2 linked regions of the Arabidopsis thaliana genome follow. The protein of the gene in region 1 interacts with the protein of each later gene in a pairwise test. Each region holds a gene or a part of one and is shown in the gene's direction. Other genes may lie near its edges. The genes, in order: ATRER1C1 and VP2.

The links.
Region 2: the proteins of ATRER1C1 (region 1) and VP2 interact in a protein complementation assay, tested with the Arabidopsis thaliana proteins (one large-scale study listed by BioGRID).

What each region holds. Positions count from the first base shown.
Region 1 is NC_003071.7:9,915,155-9,919,078, forward strand, and holds the start of ATRER1C1 (Rer1 family protein), read left to right. Parts: upstream 1-2,288; 5' UTR 2,289-2,488; coding exon 2,489-2,904; intron 2,905-3,432; coding exon 3,433-3,613; intron 3,614-3,717; coding exon 3,718-3,759; 3' UTR 3,760-3,924. Other genes in the region: AT2G23300 (Leucine-rich repeat protein kinase family protein), read left to right, coding at 1-1,086, 1,288-1,976. UniProt on the Arabidopsis thaliana protein: Involved in the retrieval of endoplasmic reticulum membrane proteins from the early Golgi compartment.
Region 2 is NC_003070.9:29,669,287-29,673,210, forward strand, and holds the start of VP2 (vacuolar H+-pyrophosphatase 2), read left to right. Parts: upstream 1-2,208; 5' UTR 2,209-2,405; intron 2,406-2,493; exon of another isoform or gene 2,494-2,705; intron 2,706-2,799; 5' UTR 2,800-3,053; coding exon 3,054-3,152; intron 3,153-3,322; coding exon 3,323-3,526; intron 3,527-3,636; coding exon 3,637-3,788; intron 3,789-3,876; coding exon 3,877-3,924. Other genes in the region: AT1G78915 (Tetratricopeptide repeat (TPR)-like superfamily protein), read right to left, coding at 176-238, 340-409, 465-515, 634-713, 828-933, 1,203-1,290, 1,452-1,489, 1,575-1,603 and 1 more. UniProt on the Arabidopsis thaliana protein: Pyrophosphatase active in both inorganic pyrophosphate hydrolysis and H(+) translocation.

The sequences.
Region 1 (3,924 bases):
TCTCCGGCGAGTTTCCCGGCGGCGGATGGAGATCGGTTCAGTATCTAGACATTTCTTCAAATCTAATCAACGGTTCACTCCCACCTGATTTCTCCGGCGACAATCTCCGATACCTGAATGTCTCGTATAACCAAATCTCCGGAGAGATTCCTCCGAATGTTGGTGCCGGTTTTCCTCAAAACGCCACCGTTGATTTCTCCTTCAACAATTTAACCGGTTCAATCCCAGATTCTCCGGTTTACCTTAACCAGAAATCAATTTCGTTTTCCGGAAACCCGGGTTTATGCGGAGGTCCGACCCGAAACCCGTGTCCCATTCCTTCATCTCCGGCCACCGTCTCGCCACCAACCTCTACACCTGCACTCGCAGCTATACCTAAATCAATCGGGTCTAATCGAGAAACCGAACCGAACAACAACTCAAATCCTCGAACCGGGTTAAGACCAGGAGTTATAATCGGAATCATAGTCGGAGATATCGCCGGAATCGGAATCCTCGCTCTTATCTTCTTCTACGTTTATAAATACAAAAACAACAAGACAGTGGAGAAGAAGAACAATCATAGCCTAGAAGCTCATGAAGCTAAAGACACAACTTCGTTATCACCATCATCATCAACAACTACATCTTCTTCATCTCCAGAACAATCAAGCAGATTTGCAAAATGGTCATGTCTCCGTAAGAATCAAGAAACCGATGAAACCGAAGAAGAAGACGAAGAAAATCAACGGTCAGGAGAGATTGGAGAGAATAAGAAAGGGACTTTAGTAACCATTGATGGAGGAGAGAAAGAGCTTGAAGTTGAAACTTTGCTTAAGGCTTCTGCTTACATTTTAGGAGCCACTGGTTCGAGTATAATGTACAAGACTGTTCTTGAGGACGGTACGGTTCTCGCGGTTCGTCGGTTAGGTGAGAATGGTTTGAGTCAACAACGCCGGTTTAAAGACTTTGAGGCACATATTCGAGCTATTGGTAAATTGGTTCACCCGAATTTGGTACGTCTTCGTGGATTCTATTGGGGCACCGACGAGAAATTGGTCATTTACGATTTTGTTCCTAACGGCAGTCTCGTCAACGCCCGTTACAGTGAGTCAAAATCATCTCTTTCACATTTCAATCTTTTTCCTCGCTTTATGATAAAGGCACATGTTAGCATAAGATCAAGTCGCACGCTAGCATCACCAGGGTTTTGCTACTGTGTTCATATTAGTTGGTAGTAGTTAAATTACACCTGTATTAATAAAGTCAACGGCTGGTCAAATTTTGATTCTTTGTGCTATTGGACAGGGAAAGGAGGGTCTTCGCCGTGCCATTTACCGTGGGAGACTCGGCTCAAGATAGTAAAAGGTTTGGCTCGTGGGCTTGCTTACCTCCACGACAAGAAACATGTGCACGGTAACTTGAAGCCTAGTAACATACTCTTGGGCCAAGATATGGAGCCCAAGATCGGAGATTTCGGGCTCGAAAGGCTTCTCGCCGGGGATACTAGCTATAACCGAGCTAGTGGATCATCTCGGATTTTCAGTAGCAAGCGATTGACAGCATCCTCGCGTGAATTTGGTACCATCGGGCCCACACCGAGCCCAAGTCCAAGCTCCGTTGGGCCCATATCTCCCTATTGCGCACCCGAGTCGCTCCGCAATCTCAAACCAAACCCGAAATGGGATGTGTTTGGGTTTGGAGTGATCCTCCTCGAGCTGCTCACGGGAAAAATAGTGTCGATAGACGAGGTGGGGGTAGGAAATGGGCTGACCGTAGAGGACGGGAACCGGGCGCTAATAATGGCTGATGTAGCGATCCGCTCCGAATTGGAAGGCAAAGAGGACTTTTTACTTGGCCTTTTCAAATTGGGATATAGTTGTGCATCTCAAATTCCACAAAAGAGACCGACCATGAAAGAGGCGTTAGTAGTGTTTGAAAGATATCCTATTAGCTCATCGGCTAAGAGTCCATCGTACCATTACGGACACTATTAACGTTTGATCTTACACTAACTCTAGTCTCTAAGCGTTTCTCTATGGCCAAAGTATATACACATGATGCAAATTGTTCTTTCTTGTTGTTTGTCCACTTGAGTTTTTATATATGATTCTTTAGGATACTACCACTAGGTTAGCTTGGTTTGTAATCGTTTTTTGTTTAATTTAGTGTAAGTTCGGTTTGTGTTGGAGACTTGGAGTTGGCTCCCATATACTTAAATCTTCAAACATAAGTTAATGTGTTATACTATATTTTCAACCAGTAGACCAATCATATAAATCGTTTAATAATTTCTGAACCACTAAACCCGCAAGTAAACCGATAGATTGATCGTATAATTTCAACCGGTTCGGATAGTAAATAGTAGATCTTCCGTAAACCGGATATGATCTGATCTGATCTCCCAAAAAGTCCCAAATCCAAATCTACGAATCTCCGTCTCCTCCGTCGCATTTTCCGAGGTAGAGAGAGAGATCAAACCAAAGAGACACAGAGAGAGTATCCACCGATGGAATCCGCAGCAACGGCTGTTGTACCTCCGGCAGCCGCCGCCACCACCGCCACCGCCACCGATGATAATCTCCAATCAAGCGACTCATCATCTCCCGCCGACGCCGTTAACCGATTGATCCACGCCTTTTCGCAGCGACAACAACATCTTCTCGACAAAACGGTTCCTCACGTTCTCTATCGATGGATCGCATGTCTCTGTGTTGTATTGATCTACATCGTTCGTGTTTACTTTGTGGAAGGCTTCTACATCATCACTTACGCCATCGGCATCTACCTTTTGAATCTCATCATTGCTTTTCTATCTCCTCAAGAAGATCCCGAAGCTTCTCTCACTTCCGGTGGTTCTCTTCCTACTCGGAGATCCGATGAGTATCGTCCTTTCGTTCGCCGTCTCCCTGAGTTCAAATTCTGGTTCGTCTCTTTGATTCTGTATTATTGATTTTGTTAGATCTGATATAGGGTTTTAGTAGTGAAATTGAGCATAGCGTTATTGGTTTGATTCACTTTATCGATTGAGACTTGAGAGGATGACGAAGCTTGATGACTTACTTGTTAAGGAATTCAACTATTGTAGACTTTGATATAGTTAGATTACGTAGATCTGATCTAGGGTTTTAGTAGCGTTATTGGTTTGATTGCAGATGAATTCATGACTGAATCGTTAGATCAGATGATTGATAATGATGTTTGATGACTTACTTGTTGAGGAATTCAATTATTGTGGACTTTGATGTAGCTAGATTGATTCAATTCTGCAGAGAAACTACATTTTTAGCAAGATTTAGAACCAAATTTAGAAGAGATCGACAAGATTCACTTTGTGAAGCCTTTGTATGAATTCTTTTTAGGTTTATCAATCTAGAATGTGATGAAGTCTCGATTTGATGTCCTTTGGATTTTTTGATGTGGAATGTTGTGTGTGTGTTTTTTGCCATGAAGGTTATCGATCATAAGGGCTTTCATCATCGGATTTATGATGACGTTCTTCGAGGTGTTTGATGTACCTGTATTCTGGCCAATACTTCTCTTCTACTGGGTGATGTTGTTTTTCCTTACGATGAGGAAACAGATACAGCATATGATCAAATACAGATATGTCCCTTTCTCTTTTGGGAAAAAGGTGTGTGTTTCTTTTTCTTTCCTTCCTTCACAGAACTGACTCTAACGTCTGAACAAGTTGAGTAAGTTTTCTAACTTCATCCTCGGTTTGTTTTTCCCTTGCAGCAGTATGGAAAGAAACCGGCTCCAACAGAGAGCAGTGAATGATCAATCAAAACTGTTCAGGTCAGCAATTTTACAGTCTTTTGAGAGAAGTAGCATTTGAAAAGGTCGGTCTTTTGTTCTCTTTTGATGGCCTATATCTTTGTTAGGGATGAAGTAGAGATAGACATATTTTGCTCTTTTATCATCCTGACTATTTTACTGGTTTCA
Region 2 (3,924 bases), on another chromosome or scaffold:
ATGCAAACAGAAAAGTTCCATGCAATTTAAGATGTGGAGGTAAGAACTGTTACATACTACCTGATTATTAGTTTAAGTTGTTCCTTGTTACTATTGGAAGCCTACAGATGAATGGCTAAATGCCGATGAAGAAGATATTTAATAGTATGCACAACATGCGCATGTTATCACTCACCTCCAGAGCAGCTTGATCCTGAGGCGTGCCATTGAGAGTTGTTTCAAACTCTTTGAGCCTTTGCTGCAAAATGAAAAAAAATCGAGATGTTTACTACGTATCTTACTTTATTCAGATTATCAAAGTTCATGAACGAAATCTTCATGATCAGCCCCTAATATTACCTGAAGCGTGGCTTTCTCTTCTTCTGAAATTTGATTTTTAACTACTGTTGTGTTCTTAGTTGGACTATCACTGAAAAGTGGTAAAAACATTGTTAGAACTGACACCGGCTAAATTACATGACAACATGACTTGGTATGACAAAAATGTGAAATTACGGAAACCAACCCAGCTGATCCTAAGAACATATGATGTCATCAGAATCTTTACACAAACAATTACAAACTGGAATAAAAAGAAGGAAAATGACAAACAGTAACATGGTGTAAATGACACAGTTATGACTTGGACTTCACTTAACGCACCTTCCCGTGGGAAGAAAGTCACCAAGAGCAAAAACCAAACCAAATACAACAACAGCTATGCCAACTCCAACCTGTCATGGCATGGGCCCAAGTTTTGTCATGTTATGTATGAGTAGCTTATAGGCCTCAAGTGGTTTTAGAACAAAATAAAAAATAAACACTTGCAAGATGTTATGTATGCGTACCTTAGTACCAAGACCAATTGTTTTCTGGTCAGACTTGACTGGTGCATCATAGTCAATTGGACCAAATTCTTTAACTACTTCTGTCTTTTTCTGCTCAAGAGCTGACCTGATTCATCAAAAGAGCAGAGGTCACAGAAATAACATTCCGATCAGTGGGAGGACAATGATCTTGACTATGTCTAGGGGGTGAGGGAAGTGGAAAGCAAGACAAGTGATGAACAAATCAAGAAAAAAAAAGAATCAAACTTTCATAGGAAGATCATGTCGTTGTGGGTATAATGAGAAAGTCAAGTGTGATTGTCAGAGGAATAATCCTATTGTAACCTATATATCTCTAAAGCCAATCTTCATGCTAGAATCATAAAACATAGGTACCTTCTGATGTTTTCCAGCCGTTCATCGAAGTCTATATCAAAAGATCGACCAGATTTTCCTTCAAACTGAGTATTCAGACCAGGTGCCTCTGCAAACAAATGCAGGAGTTTCTTGAGCAAACCTTTCAATTGAAACCAACTTTTTGAGATAAACTGAAGAATGCAAAAATGAAGTTATGTTCGAGACACCATGAAGGAGAGCAGCAACATCTGTTACGTACAATATGCTTTAAAATCAAATTATACTTACTTCTGGGTACAGAAACAGACTGTTTAGAAGATGATTTCCTGCAGCAAAGAAGTCCATATGAAAATATAACAACAGCAATTTAAAATTCTAAATGCTTTAAACAAACACAAAAACTATTTATACCTTTGCTGCAATGCCGGGTCTTTCTCTTCCTGTGATGCGATTTCACATTTTTGTCTCAGTACTTTGAATCAACAAAATTAAGTTGAACAAAGAAGAATTTGGAATCAAACCTTTTTTGAGCCGAAGCCACGCTTAGGGTTAGAATCCGAGCAACGTATTCGAAATAGGAGAAGCTTCGAGTTAAATGAAACGGAGGTCGTCGCCGCTAGTGTCATCAACATCCTCTGTTTGTATTGTCCTAACCAAAACAGAGAATTTTCTAAGAAAGTTTCAAAGAAATAATGAGAAGTAACGGCTACGAAGAGAAATTCGTCCGCCGGAGATTGACGATGAAAGGTGAGCTCCGTGATCGGGCCGGTAAGATAACGTTAGTGGTTCTTCTTCTTCTTCACTTTGCAGATTGTCTATTATATGGGCCGAATGGCAAAACATAATTTTGGGCTAGGCCCATATAATATTCAAATGTTAATATTCCAAAATTGATGGGTATTTTTGATAATTTAACTCGATCTATATAATTTAACAAACGAGGATGATTTTAAGTTTTTAACTTTTTAAGTGAGAATAGTGATTAAGTGTCAACGACTCATTGGATAGGATGTGTCATAAAATTAGTATTGAACCACTGAGGAGTGAAAATAAAATTAAAGGTAGAAAAATTAATTTAGGAAAAAAATATTCGGAAAGTTCTGTGAAAAGTCTTCGGATTTAGAACGGAGACAGCGAGAGGATAGAGCGCTTCTTCGGCTACAACAAGCTTTCGCTAATGGCGGTTTCCTTCTGATCACTCTCACCGGAGCCGTCATCTTCTCTGTTTTACCGATTTTTAGGGTTTGTTTCCGGATAAACTCTTCGTATGCTTTTTTTTTTTCGTTGGATTCGTTTCTGGAAACGTATCCATTTCCTGTCTAGAGATCATGTGAATTTCTCTTAGAACAGAACTCAGATCTAAATTAAAGTAACGGTGCTTGATTCATTAAACTCGGAATGCAAAGTCCCTTGCGTTTTATTCACTGAAATCTTAGTCGATTAGATCTTGAGGTCTGTTTGTTAATCGCACTTTTCTGGGGAATTGATCGTAGAAGCAATTACGCTCATGGGAAATGATGAAAGTTATAGCTAAACTTTACTGTAGAACCTTACTCTGATTATATTTCATTTAAAAATGCTATTTGGTTGGTAAAGAGAAACATCACAACTTTTCATACTTTTCTATTTTTTTCAGAAATTTTGATTGTGGTGGAAACTTGTTGTGGCAACTCTACTGAGAAAGTTTGAAGAAGCTGGAATCAAAGATATAGCTAGAGTTAAGAGGGTTCATACTAACTTGTGCTCGTTTTGTGATGTGCTGTTGTTAACGTTTGGAGGAAAAAGTTGTAGTGTATTAAAATTCAGCGTCCGAGTTCTGGGGCGGAGTTGCCCCATAGCATTGACTTTACGCCTCTACACATAGTCCGAAGGGCTAATTCAGCTCAAAACATGATGATGGATGAAGATGTTGAGCAGGCCAGTTTGATGTCTTTCAATGACAGGCCTAGGGCTTTTCCCAACATGCGTAGTAAAACCTATAGTCCACTGGTACAACTTTTATTCCTCTCTTTCTTGAGTGCTTTTCTTTTTGCTTGCATCAGATCACTGAGATGCGTATTATAACTAGTTTCCTTCTATTTCGTTTAGCATCTTAGTTTCTTGAGCATCTCGTTTTCATTTTCTTTGAAATTGTATAAAGTTTAGTTGTTTTTTGGCAGATATTCCGGATTATTAGGAAATTAAATGTCCGTGTCCTTTCGATAATTCTGCTTTTCTGCTTCGGAGCAATCTTTTACATGGGGGCAAGTACTTCTCCCATCATCGTGTTCGTCTTCACAGTATGCATCATCAGCTTCCTTTTGTCAATATATCTAACCAAGTGGGTTTTAGCGAAAGATGAAGGACCTCCAGAGATGGTTGAGGTAAGCTCACTCAGATTATGTGGTGTTAGTCATGATGTTGACATTTTTCCTTCTTTGTTCTCATCAAAAATTTGTAATTCTAATTTGTGAGGTAATTCTCTTACTTATAGATATCAGATGCTATACGTGATGGAGCTGAAGGTTTTTTCAGAACGCAGTATAGCACTATATCCAAGATGGCCATTTTGCTAGCTTTTGTGATTCTTTGCATATATCTATTCCGTAGCTTAACTCCCCAGCAAGAGGCTGCTGGTTTAGGAAGGTGCTGATACATGATTACATTCACAAGATTTATTTTATCTTTTGAATTGTTGTGAATGAAGCTTAGCCATATTACTATTTTGCTGCAGGGCGATGTCTGCTTATATTACTGTTGCTGCATTTCTTTTGGGGGCTCT